Linked DNA regions of Rhinolophus ferrumequinum. The protein of the gene in region 2 interacts with the protein of the main gene of each other region in a pairwise test. Links are inferred from orthologs where the notes say so. Each region holds a gene or a part of one and is shown on either strand. Other genes may lie near its edges. The genes, in order: AMOT, SEPTIN1 and AURKB.

The links.
Region 1: the proteins of SEPTIN1 (region 2) and AMOT interact in binary tests that used the Homo sapiens proteins (3 or more experiments, as listed by UniProt). The two-hybrid records come from large-scale screens. The link is inferred for Rhinolophus ferrumequinum from reciprocal best matches to the Homo sapiens genes SEPTIN1 and AMOT.
Region 3: the proteins of SEPTIN1 (region 2) and AURKB interact in binary tests that used the Homo sapiens proteins (3 or more experiments, as listed by UniProt). The link is inferred for Rhinolophus ferrumequinum from reciprocal best matches to the Homo sapiens genes SEPTIN1 and AURKB.

What each region holds. Positions count from the first base shown.
Region 1 is NC_046284.1:41,286,402-41,294,094, forward strand, and holds the start of AMOT (angiomotin), read left to right. Parts: upstream 1-4,641; 5' UTR 4,642-4,701; intron 4,702-5,190; exon of another isoform or gene 5,191-5,609; intron 5,610-7,693.
Region 2 is NW_022680357.1:742,222-749,444, forward strand, and holds the start of SEPTIN1 (septin-1), read left to right. Parts: upstream 1-4,127; 5' UTR 4,128-4,268; coding exon 4,269-4,380; intron 4,381-4,521; coding exon 4,522-4,661; intron 4,662-5,047; exon of another isoform or gene 5,048-5,188; coding exon of another isoform or gene 5,189-5,206; intron 5,207-5,288; exon of another isoform or gene 5,289-5,371; coding exon of another isoform or gene 5,372-5,374; intron 5,375-5,535; coding exon 5,536-5,626; intron 5,627-5,717; coding exon 5,718-5,804; intron 5,805-6,034; coding exon 6,035-6,158; intron 6,159-6,479; coding exon 6,480-6,614; intron 6,615-6,712; coding exon 6,713-6,830; intron 6,831-7,223. UniProt on the Homo sapiens protein: Filament-forming cytoskeletal GTPase. May play a role in cytokinesis.
Region 3 is NC_046304.1:10,789,360-10,796,642, forward strand, and holds the start of AURKB (aurora kinase B), read left to right. Parts: upstream 1-4,200; 5' UTR 4,201-4,331; intron 4,332-4,612; 5' UTR 4,613-4,637; coding exon 4,638-4,685; intron 4,686-6,691; coding exon 6,692-6,794; intron 6,795-6,902; coding exon 6,903-6,942; intron 6,943-7,187; coding exon 7,188-7,283. UniProt on the Homo sapiens protein: Serine/threonine-protein kinase component of the chromosomal passenger complex (CPC), a complex that acts as a key regulator of mitosis.

The DNA.
Region 1 (7,693 bases), on a different chromosome or scaffold from region 2:
GATGGGTGTTCCTGGGTCCCTCTACCTCCCTCTTGCTCCAGCTAACCTAGGACTTTGCAAACAAACCCTACCGAGAAGTAAGGACAGTCTGGGCCTTTCCAGAAACTCAAGCTGTGGAAGGAAATATGGTATTTAGTTAAACTGAAGTGAAGCCCTGCATAAATCATAAAGCGGTGAACCCAGGTTACTCAAACAAGACCCTAGGAGGTGCTTGGGGAATAGACTTTTTCATGCAACTTTATTTTTCTACAGCTGATTTATTTCAAAAATGCTGGGGCCCACAAATACCCCAGGAGTAACTTGGCTCCCAAATGCTACAGAAGGTTTTGGCCTTGGAGCACAGTTCTGGTGTTTCCTGAATTCCCACATTGCTGTTTTCCACACAGGGATCAGACTTCAAACTTCCTGTGTCTGGCCCATATGTGTGTGTGTGTGTGTGTGTGTGTGTGTGTGTGTGTGTGTGTGTGTGTGTATGCTTGGAAAGGGTGAGAAGGGGAGGGGGCGGATCCAAAAGGAAGAGCATTTACCTCAATGCTTACATTGCACACGTGTCCCTTTGTTCCTTTCCCATTCAGATAAAGCTGCTATTTTCTGATGAGCTCATTTCTGCATGAGAAGGGCTAGTATCTTTGTGAATAAATAGACTGACTTTAGGAGGTGTCCCATGAAAGGCTGCTTTTCAGTGTTTGTCTGATATATTTGTCGGGTGTTTTTTGGGGGAGGGAAGGAGAGAGTTATGTGGAACCATAAATCCTTAGGATTTATTTTCCCTAATGTATGTGCTTTTGTTTCTAAATGCATTTAAATGATTTAGTTGTTCACCAGGCAATTAGAGGAAGATGTGCTCATTTCACACTTGCAGTTGGCTTGGTGGGTGGGGGAGAAAGTAATTCAATAGAAAGCACTATGGTTTTATGGTCTTTTCTTCTAGAAGAATTTAGCCAGGGATTGAGGAATAGACTGTAAGCCGCATCCTCCTTCTTAACTTTTCCTGTACATTGAGCAAAAATATTGCATGCAAAGGGCAGACTTTTTAAAGATTTTTTTAGTTGCCAAAATTAGGAACCAGGAGATTTTCCATTAAAATATTTGATTTCTGGTCTGGTTTCTCTTGAAAAATCGAAGTCCTGGCCACATTGGGCCTGCATTTCCCACGGTGCTGACCATGGGAAAGCTACCCCTTTACATGGGTCCTGCCTTCTTGGCAGCCTACATCTTGGTCTTATCACCTGACACCGAGCCTGAGGATTTTTACCATTAATTTTTTTATTGTTGTAAAATATACATAACATAAAATTTATTTACCATTTTAAGTGTACAATTCAGTGGCATGAAGTACATTCAAAATGTTATACAACCATCACCACTATTTCTAGAAATTTTTCATCATATCAAACAGAAACTGTGCTCATTAAACAGTAACTCCCCATTCCTCCCAGTCCTCAGGCCTGATAGCCCCTATGTTACTTTCTGTCTCTATGAATTTGCCTATTCTAAGTATCTCAGATAAGTACAATCATACAATATTTGTCCTTTTGTGTCTGGCTTCTTAGCATAATGTTTTTAAGGGAGACATTGATTTTTTCATTGACTTATTTTAGAGCATAGACATTGATTTTTACTGCATGTTAAAGGAGGAGTTACATTTCATTGAAAACAAGGCCAACAGGACAGATCATTTGGGATGGAGACTTGACTTCTAAGCTTAAAATGATCATTATATCCATTATTGATAAGTGGAGGTTCTCAATGTACTTAAACAACCCAGTGTCTTTATACAGGTGTTTTATAGTTGCTGGTTAATTCTGGTATCCCCCAGAGGCTTCTCCATATCTTATTGTCAGGATATGAGGACATGGGGATGCTCTGGGGGTTAGTTAAATGTGTGTGGCATACTTTGCTGCATAAACTCACTCTGGAACTAGCACTTAGCATATGCTTGTTAGTTGTCTTTTTCTGTATATACCCTTGAAGGTAGGAGCCAAGTCTCATCCCTCTGTTTTTTCATTCTTGTCCACAATAGCAACTCTATCGATGTTTGTTGATGTTGGCCTCCCCTCCCCCTTCCTTTTAAGTAGGGCTGGTAAAGCATAGCTTTAAATTCAAACTCAGTTTAAACAAACCAAAGAGTTTTCAGGGTAGAAACAAAATGAACTCTTGCTAGGCAGGAAATAAGGAATACCTAAGCTTAGAGATCTGGGCAAAGCACAGGTACGAAAAAACCTGTTGTTTGCCACAGGCTAAGAAGTGAATCACACACGTGATCGACCATCAATTTCAGAGCTGTGCTCATTCTACTCCACCAAAACTTAAATTTGGAGAAGAATAATATCCAAGGCAGAATTTGAGGAGGGGGAATTAAGTGTTTTAAGGGTTTCCATTGTATGAAAGTCCCCCATAGCTGTGGGGAAGTGTAGTTGGAAAAGTCTTTTGATTGCAACTTCAAGGTTAGGGGCAGGCATCCTAGAGACACAGCCTCCAGGCCTTTGTACTAGGATTTGTTTGCCAGTATTTTCTGTGATGGCAAAAGATGGAAAATGGCCAAAATCACCTCAAAAGGGGAATGGGTAAAATAATTTTTGCACATCTGTGTAATGGAACACTGAGCTATCACGACAAAGAATAAGGTAAAGGAAGTTATCCTGAGATGGATGGATATTTAAGAGACATAATATATTTTGAAGATTACACACAGGCATAGAGAGAAAGGGAGAAAGGGACTATGAGAATGGAGTGATGGAGAGGAACTCTGTATTCCTTTCAGTACTGTTTTAATTTAACCCTGTTCATATTTTACTCTTTCCATTTTAATAGCGTTGTTAACAAGTATCCTGTTGCCATTGTGATCAACAGTAGTCTGTAGCATATACTCATCCTATCTAACTCCGCTGTCCACCTCCTCACTCCAAATAGCAAGGCAGGAATAATCTTCCCTTGATTCACAAACCAGGTGTCTCCATGTCTTTAACGCTCACAATCTCACCTTCTCCATGAAAACTCACCGGAATAACTTCACCTCACACATATATAGAATTATACCAAGAATCCATTTTGTCCATGCTCCGGCTTCTGAATCTTTCAGCAGCCCTAGTAGAGTGCTCTACACACTGAGGCTACCCTACAATATGGCACCTACTCACCACTTTTCCTGTGTGTTTGTGTGTGTGTGTGTGTGTGTGTGTGTGTGTGTTTATATTCTGAGACCCTGTTCACTGTGAGATAGTGTTCCCTTTGAGCACACTTTTCTTGCATGCCTTGATCCATGGCCCCTCAGAAAGCTCCCATTAGGCAGGCTTGAATTGGATGTCACTTTTTTTATTGGCATGAGTTCATTACAATAGCTCTGTGTTGTCAAGGCCTTTATATTTAGACTTGCTTCCTCCTTCTAATGTTTTCTAGGAAATATGGATCTGTAGAGAATGGTGGTTTCCATGGTAAATGTTCCCTCATATTTGTTTTCTCAAGTTCACTTCAGATATACACAGCATGATTTACTTTTTCAGTACCAGTACCGTTGTGGCGCCACTGCAGAACTGTTTAAAAAAGTAATCTCACCCACCCTGGTTAGAAAAGGGGTAATTTTTTATTCTAACTGCAGGGAGCCAACTTCATATCCACCCCCAAAACTGTAGGAAAAGAGTTGACTTACTAAAATACAGCCACAAAACCTACACACCTTGGATGTAAATGATTAAAACAGATGAGCAGAATATTTGATTCTCAGACACATGTGAGTCTCTCCAGGGCATAGTATACACAAGTAGGAACACATACATACATACATACATACATACATACATACATGTGGGCGTGGTTTGTGATTTATACAGTTTTCACACACAATTCATTTTATTTTTATATACAAGTGCAATTAAGTAATAGGGTATGTTTTATAGCTTTTTAGATAAGCAAATTAAGGCTCAGGGATGTTAAGCGACCTCACAAAAGTCACACAGCTCCCTGGTAAGTGCTAAAGCCTGATATGAGTTCTTCCTTTAGCTCCAAATTCCATGTTATTCTGCCACCCTTAGACTGTTTCTCTGTGCTTTCATTGCCCAGATGTAAAATGGAAGATTTTCAGTGTACCAGGATGCTGTTCTCAACTCTCTGTGTTCTTAAGCAACATCAATTTTTCACCAACGGAAAATGTGAACACCTCATTGACACTTCACGTACTTTTCCCTCTCCTGGACTAATTAATTAAAGGGGAAGAAAAGTTACCTATCCCCAGAGGACCTGACAGTGCCATAAAGGTGTGCCGGAGACTGCTGACACATTGTCGCACTCTCTTAGGAGACTGAGAAGCTAACCGTCTCAGCTTTCTCTTCTCAGCAGTGGCTGGGGAGAACAGAGAGCAAGACAATAGCCTCTTGTTTAGTTTTATTAATTTTGAGGGCGGGTGGGATCGGATCGACAGCGCAAGTCACCAATCGTAAGCGAATCCTAGGCCGGGATTAGCCAACCCATAGTTGCAAACGAACAGTGGATGGGATTTACCCTTTCTGGGCCCACTCCGCAGGGGCCGGCCCTCCCAGCCTGCCCAGGGGCGGAGGCTGCGCACAGCCCCGCCCACGCCAGCCCCGCTGCCAGCGCGGCCCGCCACCAGGGGTAGGGGCTTGCGATGTGAGTGTGGTGGAAGGAAGCGGGAGTCTAGGGAGAGCGGAGGAAGAAAGGAGGATGTCTTGCAGAGCTGCGACCTGGGTGAGGGCCTACTGGTAATAGGAAGCAAGAAGGGAAGGAACATGAAGAAGCGTTGCTCCTTCCTGCATTATTTTAAGCAGGCTTTGCAAAAAGCTGCTTTTCAGCATTTCTATTATTTGTTTTTCTTCCTCCTGCTGTGGGGCTGGGAGCTTCACTGGCCCTCCCACGCGACTCTGCTCCGCTGTTGCCGTAGATTATTATTGTAGTCTTTGTAAAACCCTTCCCTTCCTCCCAGCCAGTCCTTGCGTCGATTCTCAGGGCTACTGTAACCGATTTGTGCCATGTTAGTGGGAGGACCAGAGCGAGAACCCCCCCGCCTTTGCCCGAGCGGTAAGACCCGCCATTCAATTGTTTGAAACTTCCCCGCCCTCTAGCCCCACCTCTCTTCCGCCCTCTCCTTCCAGGCTCCAGGCAGGCCCCCTCCCTTCTTTCCCCGCTCTCTACTCCGCCCCCTCCCTAGTCCACTCCCGGCTCCTGGGCGGTCCTAGCGGCTCATCGCAAGAAGAAAAGCCACCCATTCGCCCCCCTCCCCTACCTCTCATCCTTTTCCCAGGAGCTGCCCTCATCGCAGTCACGCCCCTTCCTTCCGAGGAGCTTTCTGACTGCCCAAGCTGGTAGACCCCTGATTTATTTCTCCATCTCCTCTCTCTTTGGCTTTATCTTCTGTTAGTTCTCACCACCCCCTCCACCCCCACCTCCAGTCTGTCTCGTCTCCGACTATCCGCTGCTCCACCCTTTGGCCCGGTATCCTGCCTATCCACTGCCACCAAGGAGATCCCGGAGGGAACAGCGAAGAGGAAGCACCCAGGAATTGGGGCTTTCCCCCTGCCCATCTCTGGCCTCTGGCCTGGGACCGAAGCCACTTGAGCGAGTAGAGACTCGTCACCTTGTCTTCGTTGCCTTCAGGGGTAGGAGACGCGTGGTTACTTTTCGCGGGGTAACTGGGGCAGGAATCCATGGTGGCATGAACTTGATCATGCCCTCGGCATAAGTGAGTCGATCTACATGCGTGCGGGTATGCCCGTGTGTTCTGCTTTCTTTGCAGTTGGCCATGAGTTTTTCGAGATGTGCAGCAAGTTAAATCGGTTAAAAAGTGCGTGCTTCTTTCCCGTCGGAGATGCTACTGGGTACCACAACTTGATGTTACTTTTACTTACTTGCCTCCCGGGGTCTTAGTAGGTCTCTAGGTAATTAAGTACAAAAGAAATTAAAGACCTGAGGGAACTCGAGATCTACATTTAGCTCAAGGAGAAAGTCCATGCTTATCTCAGATTGCTAGATGTGTTCCTCCTAAATTCTTAGGGTTGGGGTGGGGACCTTGAATTCTTGAAGTCTTAAAGTCTGGGAGTAATCTACAACGAACGCTACACTTTTTTGGTGAGTGTGTGTGTGTGTGTGTGGTGTGTTGAAGAGGAGGCTGCCCCTTATCTGCTTTACATGTTAGTGACTAGTTTTGTGGGATCATGCAGGTATGTCTTGAGGGTCTTAAACCTGTGTCATTGTTGGTGCTTCAACAGCAAGATGGACTTACAGATATATGAAGATATATATTGATATATTTTCGATAGGATAAGTGAGAGGGGAAGTGGCAGTCTTTGTAGACTGTGAGCAGTCCCTGGTAAATTGCCACTAATAATTAATAATAATTTGCAGCAAGGGACTAAATAGAATCAAATGAGATAGGTAAGGGAAAGTTTGTGTGAAACAGCATTTCTAATCTCTAGCATGTACTTTAGAAAGAATTTTCCAACACCTTGGAGTGTCTAATTTAGTTCTCCTTCCTCCTCCCTTCCCTTCCACCCCCACCACAAGAAGAATGGAAGTTGGGAGGCAGTTTATTTTGTTTTAATATAACCCTCTTCTCCCATTCAGAGAGGAAGATAATTGCCTTGTTTCCCCAAAAATAAGACCAGGTCTTGTATTAAGATTTGCTCCAAAAGACGCATTAGGGCTTATGTTCAGGGGATGTCATCCTGAAAAATCATGCTGGGCATATTTTCCGGTTAGATCTTTTTTTCAGGGAAGCACGGTAGTCACCATAATCTTTAATAATGGAGGGCTAAGGTTGTTTAAGTCTCCTTGAACCAGACTTTGTGCAAAGTCCTTTCTCAGGCCAGCCTTTGTGAAGCCTTCTCAGTTAGACCTTCCAGAACCCTCATTTAGTAGCTAAGAATAGTGTAAGATACCATTTGGATCTTACACTATTTGGATGCAGGGTAAATTTTCACCCATGTGCCACCTATCTCCAATTGGGCAAGCATGGCAAACTTAGAAGAATGGTGGTATTCAAAGACCTATTACCAAGATGTCCCCAACCCATTGCTTATTTGGCAAGAAATTATTGACATATTTTTAAATAATTTCACTGGTTGATTTTGATGGGGGGAAAGGAAAGCAGGAAGGGAAAGGGGACGTTACAGGTTACAGGGCAACAATTTTAAAGGCTATCTATCGTGTTTCAGATCAACTGGGAGGGAAAAGTTGGCCTGACCAAAACTACATTTTATAAATGGCCTGGGACATTTTAATAGCCAGGTGGTTGTAGAGTAGTTGCATCTATTTAGAGATGATAACACTCAGGTTCTAGCTATTCTGTATGGGCTTATCCGGTGTCATTTACAGACACTTTCTGGCACTACATCCTACTTCGTTTTAAGATACTTCTTTCTTTGGAAAGGTCTGGCTATGTAAAATTGAAAGTGCTTTTCCTAACTTCATAGTCTAGATATGAAGTAAACCTCTGACCAGGCTTGTATATCGCGTAACTTTTCTGTGAAAGTTGTGGATCTCTTTACCTATTTAAAAGATTTTAGAAGGGAATTTAAAAACTCATATTCAATATACTCTTTTGTATTTGGAAATTAAAATCTTATTTCTGGTTTGTGAAGTAGGATTCATTTTGTGGAATTGCTTTATCTGTAGTTTTATAAAGAATCAATCAGACTCTAGAATTCCTTAAGAACAGTCTATTCAGAAAGCAGAGGGATGGATG
Region 2 (7,223 bases):
AGGACCTTGGAGGAGCCGCGCGCCTGCGGGGGCCTCCCGGTCGTCCCGAGCTCTTGCCGGCGGGCGACCGCGAGCTGCGGAGAGGGCTACTCTAAGCCGAGGACAGTGGCCCGAACTCGGTGGTATTAACCGTGTGCCTCCTGGGCTGCAGCTGGGTGTTGAGAGCCGGAGACTCTTTCTAATTGTCGCTGGGTTGGGCCACCCGCGCCCACCTGCGGGATCGGCCGACAGCGCCAACCACCCGGGCCCGGAGAGACAAAGAGATCCGAAGGCTGACCCAGGGAAAGGGGTGGGGGAAAGACCCAGGCAGACAAAGGGCGGCGGAGGGCGGCGGAGACCCCAGACGGGGCGGGGCGGGGCGCCGAGGCGCAGGAAACAAAGCCAGGCCGGTCCGAGAGGCCGAGGGCTGGGGTGGGGGATGGGGGCCGGGCCCGCCTAGGGTGGGGGAGACCAAGGCTGGAGCAGAGGCAGAGGCGAATACCTCTAGGGACGCGCCTGGGGAGAGGCGGGCCGATGGAATCAGACCTGGGCCCCGGAACCGAGACCCTGAGCCAGAGACTCAAAGTCGTAACCTAACAGCCCTGAGTCAGAGAAGCCGCAAAGGCAGAAAGAGAGAGCGAGCCAGCAGCATACCAAAATACCGGAGCAAAAGATTGACCGCCAGAGACAAAGAGATGTAGACAGGTAAGAGAGAAAGTCGTTGAAGCAGAGTCGGGAGGCGCTGTAAGAAAAGACCCGGAGCCTGGAGAGAAAAAGGCCCAGAGGCGGAGGAACAGACAATGAAACAGGCAGACAAAAAGAGACGCAGGTCGACAGCCCTACAAAGGCCAAGCCCTGGGAGAGGCTGGACCATTAAACCCTGTTTCCCAGCTTGGTGGGGCCCCGGCTGGGGCTGTGTTCCAGCAGACCCCCGGCCGGATACCCACGGTTTGCAGGATCCATACCTTGGGCAAGCTTGCCATTAGGGAGGAGGAAAGAAAGCCTGGAAGTGTCTGCAGCCCATCTAGTGATAGGGAGGGATAACGGAGGTTTCTTAATTCACCTTGAGTAGCACCCGAGTGCCAAGCCAAGAGTTTGGGATAAAGAGATGAAACACATACGAGATTTGTCCTTGGGGTGCTACCAGTTTAAAGAGGCAAGCCCACAAATCATGAACAATAACAAACTTAAGGTATGAGAGGTACCTGCACCTGTAGTGGGAGATGAGTTTGCCCGGGACCACCATCCAATATCTAGACACTGCCTAGGCGGTGGAAATGCAAAGAAACAGCACAGGGCTCTCAACCCAGTAGAAGATGGAAACAGTGCAGATGACGTGACAGATCCTATACTGTCCCCATGAACAAGCTCTGATGGGACCGTAGTACAGAGAGGGACCTTCTGTAGAGTTTAGCGGCTGTGGACGTGTCTTTGAAGTCATTTGTGTACAGAGTTTACTGTAGTTTGACCTTGGGAAGTTGCTTCTGTTTCCTAAACTGTAAATCAGGAAGAATGATAATTTGAATGGTGGAGGATTGATACTGTGGACAACCCTTTGCAAAAAATATCAGCTATTACTCTTTAGGCTGGAGTAATGAAGCAAGATGTGGCGTTTTTGAGCTGACGCTTCAAGGACAGCTAAGATTTCAAAGTCCAGAGCCTGGCTGAAGTGAAGAATTCTAGATAGAGGGAACGGAATGAACAGTGGCCCACACACTAATTGAAAACCTGCTTTGTTCTAGAAGCTTGAGATCCAAAGCTGATTAAGACTTATCCTCAAAAAAAAAAAAAAAAAAAAAAAAAGACATCCTCTAAGAGGAAAACAGAGAATAGTCCTGTTTAGATGCTGTGTGAATTGACATAGTAGGAAAGCAGCGGGAGCTAAGGATAGTACGGTAAGTTTACTCATTTATGCCACAAACATTTCCTGGGGTCAACATGTGCCAGGCACCTGTGCTAGGAAACAGGTAAGGGGGGAACCAGATGGCAAAGAGCCATCCTCTCTTGGAGGAACCTTCCCCCCAAAAGCTGGCCAGCCTACATGCATACAGAGCTAACTTTGACTTTGAGACGACAAAGCCTGGAATTAAAAGATCTGAACTTGAACTCAGGGCTAAAGATACAGAAGCCCTTCCAGGAATGCTTGGTGAGGCCACAGGGAGCTATGAAGAACAAGGCAAGATGAACTAATCCAGCTGATAATGAAATGGGAAAACTGCTGTCCACCATACACTGTCCCACAGAAAGCTCAAGATGGGGACCTTCTTTTCTCCAAACAAGCCCCATCCTTTATCACGTGAATGACTAGGTATGATTTGTTGGAGTTAATAAACATGTAAATGGAACATTGCATCGTTATTAATAAATGTCATCTCTACACTTAACACAAAGACCAGCCAATCGTCTTTTGTGCAGAGCAATCTGTTAATGTGCACAAATGCCTTACATACGTGACTTCCTTTGATTCAATAATTCCCCTTATAGAAACTAGGCCTAAGGAAATGGTTGGACAAGTGCACAGTGATGGTACCCAACACACGTTCATCCCAGCTCAGCACTGTTTATCACAGTGAAGAATGGGAATCAACCTAAATACTAAGCGTCCATAAAAATAACGTAGAGGTGTATTAGAGATGTATAGAACGTAGTAACAAAAATAGGTTTCCAAACAAAGTTATAGTATCCTAGTTTTATAACTATATATGTATTAATATGTATAGGCATAGGAGAAAAATCTAGACATAAAAATCAAAATGGTGTTATATCGTGTTAGTGATGTTAATTTTTCTAATCCACTTGTGTTTTCTTTTTTTTCTATGAGAATATGTGTTGGTTATCCAATAAATAAACATGTTCTTTTCTTAAAGGCTTTGAATAACTCAGGAAAGAGCTGATCGGAATCTGAACTCAGCAGGGGCAAGGGGGTGGAGAGTATAGAGAGAAGGGGACCAATTTTTCTGATTGACGGAAGGATTTGGAAACCAACTGGATATATCTTGTGGAAAGCGAGGGAGGGAGGAGTTCAGAGTTTTGACTAAGCCGGAGTGGGAAGGGGTATTAATCCTTCCCTGGGCTTCTCAGAGGACTCTATCCCCTCACACGTTTGTAGCACCAATGCTGTCCCTTGTGCCTGTCTTTTGTCTCCCCAGAGGACCACAACTCTGACTGATTCACTTAATCTTCTGCAACTAATCCACAGGAGCAGTCACTAGATTTCACACCCCTCAGGTCACGTAATAGCATGAGCCCATCTCACCTACCAGGCACTGTACTGAGAGCTGTATGTGTATTAGGCCATGTCATCCTCATCATGCCTCTGTGAGATAGAATTGTATATGGTGCCATTTAACAGATAAAGAAACTAAGTCCCAGAGAGGTTAAAGTAAGATGCCCAAGGTCACACAGCTAGTAAGATGACACAGCTCTTAATCTCTGTCATCATACGAAACTTGAACAACAACTGTGAATTCAGTGTGGCAGGAGTTTCCAATCCCATTTGATAGATGAGGAAAATTAAGGCCCAGAGAGGTGATTTTTCCCAAGGTTACGTAAAGGGAATGGTACTAGAAATTAGGTTGAAGTAAGGGTGAGATATACAGATGGCAACATGGATGGATCTTAAAAAAATAGTGCTGAATGAAAACGTTAACAAATATATATTCATACATATAAAACCATTTGTATAAACATGTACTGTATACTACACATTTCTCAAAATGTATACAAACCAAAAAATTACACATTTGAGCGAGGAGGGGTGAGGAGTGAGCTAAGAGGCTGCCTTAGTCTGCTCAAGCTGCCATAACAGAATACCACAGATGAGGACTCTTAAACAACAGACGTGTATTTTCTCATACTTCTGGAGACGGGAAGTCCAAGATTGAGGTACCAGTAGGGTAGGTTTATGGTGAGACCTCTGTCCTTGGGTGGCAGACAGCTGTCTTCTGTGCCTGAGCAGAGAGAGACTGCTAGTGTCTCTCCTTCTTATGACCCCAGACCTATCAGATCGGGGCCCACCCTTATGACCTCATTTCACATTAATTACCTCCTTAAAAGCCCTGTCTCTAATATAGTCACATTGGGGGGTAGGGCTCCAACGCATGAATTTTGGGGGAACACTGTTCCGTCCATAACGGGCTAAAGGGGAAATAGTAGCACCACAAGTGGACAAAGCAGATGGGGTTGCAGACCCAGCAGGAGACGAGCTTTAAAGGCTCAGAGAGGAGAGGTCGTTTGGTTCCTAAATGCTAACGCCAGTTTGTGTATACAACTGATTGACTCCAAAGCCCATGCCATCCGAAACTACTCGGAGTCCTGATAACAAAGTGGAAATGTGCTATTTCATTTTACCAATAGGAAATGGAGTTCAGAGAGGTCACAGGATTTGCCCAAGGTCACATGGTAAGTGGAAGTTCCTCAAAGCAAGGCTGCTTTTATATGTTCTACGGCCTCCTGGCCTTGGGCCCTGCCTAACTTCACTTCTCATGCTTTCATGCACGTTTTCGTGCAGTATATTATTTATCGGCCCTTTCTTTGTGCCAGGCCCTGTGAAAGACACTGCCCTCAGAAAGCTCAGCTGGAAGAAGAGACAGCCCGGGAAGCAAATGTGGACAATGGAAGGGCCTGTAAAAGATGCTGAAAAAATTTCACAGAAGAGGAAGAGCCCTTTGAAGGATGAAGAGGTACAGAAGGAACACCTCAATCTGGGCAGAGTCAAGGATGGGGCCACTCAGTGAGGGCGAGTTAATAATGGGGTGATGAAGCCAGAGGGGAAGGCTTTGGGTGCCGGCTCTGACTTGATTCTGAGGTCACTGGGGAGCCCCTAAAAGGTTTCAAGCAGGGGAACACCTTGGCCAGGATTCTGAAGGAAGGTCTCTCTGGCAGTGTTGTCCAAAGACCCGAAGTCTTTTTAACAATTGCAAAATTGCAAAATAAATCAATTGACAAATCAAATAATCCATTGCATGAGCTGGCAAAGAAAATTGATGCCCCCTGCCACCTCCAGTCCTGTTATGGCTTTTGGTCCTAGGATTCTTTTTTTTTTTTTTTTAAACCATCCCTGTCAAAGCCTTCATCTCATTTGCTGGAGAGACTACCCTGCTTCCTTCCTCTCTGCCTACACCCCACCTCCCACAAGGGTGATGTGGCTACAGTGGAACTTTGGGGAAAAGTTGTGCAAAGAACGGGTTGAAGCTTCCTATAAGGATGGATGGGCAAAGGGATCCAGGTGAGGACCCCAGGTGTCTTTGGTGTTGGCTTCCCCCACCTCTCCGGGCCAGTTAGAACATCTGAGCCTCCTACATAACCCGCCCCCTTGTTTGCTGCGCTCAACTTCCTGCCCCATCAGAGGAAGTGGGGAGAGACGGCAGGTACAGCAACAGCTAGCGGGGCCATGGTGAGTCCTTACGCCCAGGAATCCAGGCATCTCTGCACCCCCGTCCCCAGCCCCAGGGTCACCAGGCCCAGGTCTACCCACAGTGGACTGAGATCAGGTTCTACGGGGGCCCTTTCTGCCACTCCCAGGAGCCTCACACTGTCTGCCCCCCCCACCAACAGGACAAGGAGTATGTGGGTTTTGCAGCCCTCCCCAACCAGCTGCACCGCAAGTCTGTCAAGAAGGGCTTCGACTTCACACTCATGGTGGCAGGTCTGGGAGTTTTGGAGAGGGGACTGGTGTGGGTCCTCAAGAGACCCTGGCTGTCCCCTCACCTGACCAGGGGGACCTGGTCTGTCCACAGGGGAGTCAGGCCTGGGGAAGTCCACCCTCGTCAATAGCCTGTTTCTCACCAACCTCTATGCGGATCGGCAACTGCCAGAGGCCAGTGGTAAGACCTTCCCCAGCCTCTCCAGGCACCCTGCCCCGCTCCGATATCCCCAGATGATTCTCTTCCTTTCTATCTGGGTCTCCCAGGACTTTCTGGGTGACTCGGGCAGCTCACTGTTGGTCTCTGAGATTCTGCTGAAAAATTGGTGGGGGCAACTGTGATGCTGAGAAAGGCAGCTCGTCCCACCTCAGACCCCTATCCAGTTCTCTGACCTCCTCCTGTCCCCGTAGCTCGCTTGACTCAAACGCTGACCATCGAGCGGCGGGGTGTGGAGATCGAGGAGGGAGGTATTAAGGTGAAGCTGACCCTGGTGGACACCCCTGGCTTTGGGGACTCAGTGGATTGCTCAGACTGGTGAGGAGTGGGGGAAGGGATGAGAGCTCAGGCCAAACGTGGCTGCTCTGTGGAGACTGAGGGCTCAGGTACAGGGCTGGTCTGCCCTTGCCTCCCACCCACCCTGACCCAAAGGCGGGGCCTGCGTGGTGGCCACGTGGCCCCAAGTGCCCTGTGCTTCCCGACTTGTCACCTATGCCCCTGCCAGTTTTCACGGATTTCTTTGGTTGGAGCCCAAGAAACTACTTGCCACCCACGCCCAGTCCTGGCTAGCCTTCCCCGTTCCCTGCCACGTGTCCCCTGATCTCTGACCACACGCTCTCTCCTCTGTCCCCACCCCAGCTGGTTGCCCGTGGTCCGTTTTATTGAGGAGCAATTTGAACAGTACCTGAGGGATGAGAGTGGCCTGAACCGGAAGAACATCCAGGATTCCCGAGTCCATTGCTGCCTCTACTTCATCTCACCTTTTGGCCGGGGGTCTGGGAGGACACCCTGGGGGTTGGGGCATTTGGGAAGGGTGTGGAGGGAGTGTCTCTGTACCCCGAGACCAAGCCCTGGCCAATCCCTGGGTGCAGGCTCCGGCCCCTGGATGTGGCGTTCCTCCGGGCGGTGCACGAGAAGGTCAATATCATCCCCGTCATTGGCAAAGCGGATGCCCTGATGCCTAAGGAAACCCAGGCCCTCAAGCAGAAGGTGTGTGTGGGGATCGCTGACCTTCGGCCCCACGTGAAGCCTGAAGTCATGATCAAACTTGAGCTCAGCCTTGACGTCTCTGATCTGGGGGTGGAGGGACGTTTGGGAGCATGATGTGCAAGGCTAGACTAGGGGAAGGTGGCGAAGTAAGCCGCCTGAAGGAGCCCAAATCTCTGGAGGCTCAGAATGGACTCCCTGGGCTGGAGGCTGGGCTGAGAACTGCCTGAGGGGCCGGGCATAGACAGCCATGGTTCCAGATCGCCCTTGGCCCCAGGACGCTCACGACCCCCACCCTCCAGTGACTTCAGAGGCCTCCCCTGCTGTGTCTGCTTCTGTCTATCTCCTGGGATTTTGGTTATCTGCCTCCTCTTAGCTCTCTCCCTGTGAAGGTGT
Region 3 (7,283 bases), on a different chromosome or scaffold from region 2:
CAGAAGGATTCTGGAATGACACCTAAGAACCTAATGACAGTGGTTGCTTCTGGGGATGGGAGTAGAGGAGTAGACAATTAAAGATGGTAGACAGAACTGCCTGCTGCCTGAGGAGCTCTTAGCCCAAGATCTAGCATAATGAAGGCCTTTGTGGAATTAGGAGGACTGCAGCTTCTACTTGTTTCCTTGATTTGGATGTGTTCTGGGCAAGTGTTGGTGGAATGCAGCCATTTTAATTTCTACGCTGTAGCTTAAAGAGCACTATTTTGTCAAGATCAACTGGTAGGCCGTAACGAATTATCTCTGGGAAGTGGCTATCAGGCAATTGAAGTGTGACAAGACCAACTTGAATTTGATTATCCTGTTAGTCTCTGTGGAATTGTAACACAGGTTTTCTCTGATGAAGCTGTCATTCAATCCTAGCTTACCTATACACCAAGGAATCAGGTAATTTCTGCTGAACTTTGTTGGGAGTATACGGTTCCCAGCTCCCATGTCACACTTAACAACACTGAATTGAGCAGTGTCTTTGTGGTACCCCCACCTACTCAACAATGGTTCTTGGTACAGGACGGATACTGTGTGAGATATGGCTATGCCCACTTCAGAGAACACTGGTTGACACTTTTTTATGGACCATGCAATTACTCACTTCCAGGGAATTTCACCCAGCCTTTCACTTAGGAAATCTAGAAGCTTGTGTCCTTGGACATGGAGCAGCAACACAAAGTAGCCCAGTTTATAGATGTCACGTGGCATTTTACTTTTATATACTTACATGACTTTAATTCATTTCATCTATTGTAATCCCCTTCATGATGCCTTTGAGAAGAAGACCTTTGTGTTTTTAACTGTCAATGTGAACACAAATTCATGAATAAAACTTGACATATTTTACTGTAAAAAAAAAAAAGTTGGTAGAGAGACTTACTTTTAACTAGCCTGTGTAAATGTTATCATGTTCGTGTATATTTCAAAGTCCGTACATCAACAACATGGATAAATCTCACAAACATAACGTTGAATGAGAGAAGTCAGACACAGGAGAATATATATCGTATGATTCCATGACTATAAAGGACAAACAGGCAAAACTATGAAGTTAGAAATCAGGATAGTGGTTACTCTTGGGAAAGGGGGTAGTGACTGGAAAAGGAGGACGAGGGGTCCTCCTGGGGTGCTGAAGATGTTCTGTTTCTTGATCTGGGTGCTGGTTTCACAGGGGTGTTTAGTTTGTGAAAGTCATCCAGCTATTTATGTTCTGTATGTACACTTCAATAAAAAAGTCTTTAAAATGTATTAGAAGTGTAGTGTAGAGGCTTGTGGCACTGTCCATCTTGATCCAATCTGTGAAGACACGTAAATGGACCTGGACAGGACTTCCATCATCGTGGCAGAGACACATTTTGTCCAGGCCGGTGGTTTGTGCCAAAGGTGAACACTTGGGCTCTAATAGCCAAGAGCAAACCCAGCAATGAAGTTTGACCTGGGGATGATTAGGGGAGTCTGGATGGAGGAGGGCAGCCATGTCCTGACGCACCCACTTAACTCAGCAGCACTGCTTCAGCTTTACCTTAAGGGGGACAAGTTAGTGAAAAGACATTGGCGATATTCGCCAGCGTCTCCCAATGAGCCCCTTCTAGACCTTTCTGAGTCTACTACTCACTCCTGGACAGGGTTTCTTGGCTGATGATGAGAATTCATGTCTTGAAATTTCTTTGGTGGATATTCCATTATCTAAAATAAAAGGTACTGACATCTGTGCCTCCCAAACATTATAGTATCCCAGCCATCCTGCCCTGAACTTTGGAAGACAACACAGTTCTGAGCCTTCCCAGTCACATGAAAATTCAGCCTTGGCAGATAAACAGTGGTGATCCCCTCTCACCTACCCCTCTCATTGTTACTTGGCCAGTAGCCAGAATCCACACCTAACATGGACTGAGAGGTGAAAAGCAAAGCAAGAGGAAAGAAGAAAAGAGTTCCTTAGAGGAAATTGCTAATTTATGTCATTATAAACCCAGGGAATATCTGCAGAAGTGTCAACTTTGTGTGTGCCAGATTAAGGACAGTGAGCATAATTTTGGATGGGGCTACATTTATCACTATGGGTGTAGATTGGTGATGTTCAAAGTGTGGTCCACAGACTGATGCCGCTTCACAAACTGCTTCTTTCAGGTCCAGGATAAGTATAGAATTTAAAAGTAAGCATTTAAAAACTCATACGGCATTTGTCAGAGTACTTTTATATATGTTGATTACAAACAAACAAAAATGTGGGCTTGTAATTTTTATATTTTTTAGATTTCATTCTTTCAAGAACTCATTTTTATTGTATTTTATACAAGTATCATCTGTGATAGACTGAAAATAATCAAGACTGGTTCTTCCCTCACAGATCATTTATAACAGAGATTTTTGTTCACTAACGGAAACAGTCAGCTGATAGTTGCCGAGCTGATAGAACAGGTTTTTTTTTGCTTTTATGAATAATGCAAATCCCAATTTTATGCTCGCCCATCAAATATTCCTGAAAAGCCAAATATGTTCTGACATAATGTGCAAGTGGGAATTTAATTACTCCAAGGGACAGAGGTACTGTATTAGATCTATCAGGCATTATGTCCCCTGATAGCTTCCAAAAGAGTCTCCCTTCACTAACTCCTGAGAAATAAACTGTACTGCAAGTGATAGGATATTTATAAAGCTTTTTATTGGCTAGTCTCTCTACGCCAAGTATGTTGATGAAGGCATCGCTATTGAAAAGGGCTCCCAGATCTTAGGAAGTGGGGTTGGGTTGACCCTCAGTGAAAACCTCCAGAAGCAAAATGATTTCTCACAAATGGCAGCAGGGTGGTCATGATCCTCAAATCTCTGCATTAGGAAAGGAGACCTGTTGCCTCATGTAAGGAAAATGTTGAGATAGGCATCTAGAGGCTCAAAACATATCATCAAGGTCTTAGGTTCTTCCCAGACATCTCTCCTACCTTTTGCAATGTCACCTTCATTCTCAGGCAGCACCACCAGCATCAATGCCAGGCTGTTTGCTTCCTGGTCCACTTCTAACAGGAGAAAAGGAGTTTCTGCCTAGCGTTCTGGAGAATTCTAAGATTCCCACTAAATGGCCACCTTAGGTCACATGTTTATCCCTGAATCAGTGACCATGATCCTGGAGTAAAAGGTGTTGACATGTAAATCAAACAGGGTCTACTCCTGGACCGGGGATGGGGTCAGCTTTCATCTCACAAAACTCAAGGTGCTTTCAGGAAGTGGAAATCACTCAGAGCATGGATGCTGGCTAGCTAAGCATAATGTCCGCTACAAAAGGTCTTTATCAGGTTAGGGATTTGGAGTTAGCAGCAACAGAAACTGACAACAAGAATGCGGAGACAGGCAGTTCCCTAAAGCAAAGTTAGGGTGTTATTATTTGAAGACAGGAAGGGTGCTGGATAGGCAATACTACTACTTAGAAATATCTGCTAGTTATTTATTTCATAGAAGGTCTCAAGATGTATTTATTTAACCCAATAATAAAATTTGGGATCGGAAAGAAAAGAAAAGTAGGGAGGGTCGCCGGAAAGTGAAAGTGAGAGTCAGTCCAAATAACACGGCCTTCATCAGGAGACCTGCAGAGAAAGGTCTGCTGGTGGAAAACTACTAGGAAGGTGAGCGAAAGACTTTAAAGAACAAAATAGTAATGACACAAGAATAATTTACTATAATTGAGTCTAGATCCAAGTATCTGCGATGACTTCATATATCAAGGGTAGCATTTAAATTCCACTGGGGATAACTAAAATCCTTGGGCATTATATATGAGAGAAACATAGAAAGACTCTGGAAAAAAAACACAAACAACAAGTAAATAAATAAATAAATCCCACTAGGCATGGTGTAGTTTAACAAATTGTGCTGGCATAACTGGCTCTCTATCTGGCAGAAAACAGAGTTAGACCCTAGTTCATACATACACAGGGGTAAATTCCAGCTATATTAAAGATATATATATATGAATATTTTTATATATATATATGAGAATATTTGATTGGGAAATAAGGGAAACTTGCCTAAACCAGAACCCCAAAATGCTGCGGCTCGCATTCAGTTTCTTCCTTTGGGACCCTGCGGGGCTACGTCATGGGAAACCCAGCCAATGAGCATTGGGCCTGGGCGGTGCGCTCAGCCAATGGGGCTAGGGCGGGAGATTTGAAAGGGCCTTAGCGGGGGGCGCGGCCGGGGCGATTCAGTCGTTTGCTAGCAGACAACAGGTTGGCTGTGCCGCGGGCTCCAGGGGAGCTGACCTTCTTTCGTGGGTCTTGCGCTGGGAGAAGGCAAGTGATCAGACAGGTCTGGGGTCCATTGGGCTGGCCCGCGCGCACTCGGTCCGGCTGCTGGGTGCTCAAGGTTTAGAGATAGGGTCCTGGAAAGGGGTGGGGCTTGTAGCAGGGCGGGGGCCGCGAAGCCAGCTCCCGGGTGCGCTGAAGCGGTCAGTTTGCTGATATCACTTTCACTGGCCTTTGGCAATCGCGTCTGGCTACATCAGTCCGACCCCTCCTTTTCTCCCTCTTTTTCCTGTTTCTAACGGCTCTTTCTTTCTTCCTTCGTTGCTCAGCTCTCCTCCCCCTTTCCCTCTAAAGATGACTCAGAAGGAGAACGCATACCCCTGGCCCTACGGCCGACAGAAGGTAAGGGCTTTCCCACTTATCCTCCCCCCACCCTCATGGCGAGTTCCTGCTTCGAGATTTGAATTCCTGTAGAGGGCGATCCTCTAAGCACTTTCCTCTCCCTTATGCTCCAAGAGTTTGCTGGCAGAATCTAGTCTGATCATTTGCAGCCACATCCGGTCACGTGCTGCCAACTTGAATCTGACCAGTCTTGTAGGGACCTCTGCAGGGCTGAGCCTTCTTGTTATATACAAATGATAACAGACTGAGCAAGCAGGGTCTGGCCTTCGGGCCATGATTCCCAACCCTTGTCCTGAAAAAAAATAGGCTTAATAATTTGGACTTTATTTTAATGACGGGTGTGAGATAAGGATCTAAATAGATTTATTTTCCAGTTATCCCAACACCTTTCATTGAAGAGTCTATCCTCTGATTTGAAATACCAGCTTTATTATATATATTAAATTCCCACATATACGTGGGTCTATTTCTAGACTCTTTTGTTCAACTTGCTTATCTGTAAAAGTCGCGTCCAGCGCAACACGGGCAATGAGGATGCGAGAAGGGGCGGCTTTGGGTTAAGTTTTTAAGAAAGAAAGAAACAGAGACTTAATGCAGTTAAATCTCAGAAGGTCAGGGGACTCACAGTTCTCAAAGACTGGAGCCCAGAATAAAGCCGACTGGTGGTATCTATTGACAAGTATACAAGGAAGTGTTATTGCTTCTGACACAGTCTGTGAGACTCATCCATCACGTTATAGAAACAATCCAAATCAATTATGTTGGTCCCCAAACAGCTGAAGCAAAAGTCCTATGATGACTGAGGTGAGGTATGTGACTCCCTAAAGGATGTATATCACATGTTGAGACTGTTTTATAGAGCTGAGCAGAGAGAGCTTGATCTTATCGCTCTAAAGACTTTTCTCACAATTAGGTGAAAGGGGAAAACCAGAGAGTCAGCAGTGGTTTTTCCCAGGCAGGGGGAAGGGGAGACAAGGCCCCTTCCCAAATCTTTTTAAGGCAGCTCATGGGGGTCTCCATGGGGTTCCGCCTGGCTTGAGTTGTCCCCCCCCCTCCCGTGGGGAATCGTACTCGTCATTGGCTGCAACCCCTCTTTTGGAGACTAAATAGAGAGAAATATACAGTCCCAGGGATGCACAGTCTCACAGACTCTTCTTTCCTTAAGGAAAGACATGGGGGGACAGTCTGCTAGGCTGTTGTGTGACAACATGTAAATTCTATACTAATATCACTGTTTGGGAATAGCCTTTCTTCCTCTCTTGGCTAAATTAAAAGGAAGGAGCCCACACAGGCTTTGCTCCCTATTTGTGGGCTTCAGTATCCGGGAGGGTCCACCTGTCCCCTTGTCTACCAGCTCCCTCCCTCATGGAGCTGTCAAGAGCAGAGGCTGAGTGAGAAACCACTGTCACTTCTACACTGGTCACTCCCAGAAGGAAGTTGTGTATATTACCCAGAAGTTGAAAGTGAGAAGTGGTCCAAAGCCAACAAAGTAGCCCTCAGTGTCCCTAAAGCCTGTGGTTGCAAGGGGTAAACTGATGTTTGCTGAACATTCAAGGACCTTATCTAAGCCTTACTAGACTGAACTCTTTAGGGGACTGTGAGAATGCCTCTGTGCTGAAACTCCTTGAATTGTGGATCTTCATTGCCCCAGCCCTCTCTACTGTCCCCTGGGGTGGGGGGTTGGTGAACGAGTGGTGTTATGGTCAGGACTATAGAGATTGGACAGCTTCATGCTAGAGAATGTAGTGAGGGCCAAGGCCAATGAGGTGAAATGTTAGGTGTTGGGGTAAGTCCTTTGCTCCTTATCTTCGGCCCGTTTAGCTTATTTATTAATAACCCATTAATATGGGGCTCTGAGCAGCAATATTTGAGTAGCAATATTGTGGTCACAGTGCTCCTCTTTCAACTGGGAGTGGGTGGCTCTAAGCGAGAATGCTGCTTGTAGCACATTCCAACCTGGTCACTGGGACAAAGGCACCCTCAGAGCTCCCTGTGCTCTTTCTCAGGCTCATTCTGGCTTGAACACCCTGCCTCAGAGAGTCCTCCAGAAGGAGCCTGCCACCCCATCTTCGCTTGTCCTCATGAGCCGCTCCAGTGCCCAGCCCACAGGTAACTGGAACAAGGGGAAGAGGACTGACCTGAAGGAACTAGAGTCTGGGGAGGGTGCGGGGATGAAAATGTCAAAGGACGGCCTCAACCTCTCTGTTTTCTCCTTAGCTGCCCATGGCCAGAACAGCAGTGGGACACCCAACTTAATGTAAGTGCCCAAGCCTTGGGGTGGCAAGAAGAGCGGATGGGAGAGTGAACAGGTTGGAAATGAGGGAGGTAGAAGCTAGGGGCAGGAGGAGGAGGGATGCAGGCAAGAAAACCTGATCCATCTTCGACTCCCTTGGAAGAGAAATGGGGCTGAGGGCAGGATGAGCTGAGGTGCAGGGAGAAGCCAAACAGCTCAGGTGATCCACAAACTGGTACTCAGCTGCCTTCCCCCCACTCTCTAATCAGCCGGTCCTTCACAATTGACGACTTTGAGATTGGGCGTCCTCTGGGCAAAGGCAAGTTTGGAAATGTGTACTTGGCTCGGGAGAAGAAAAGCCATTT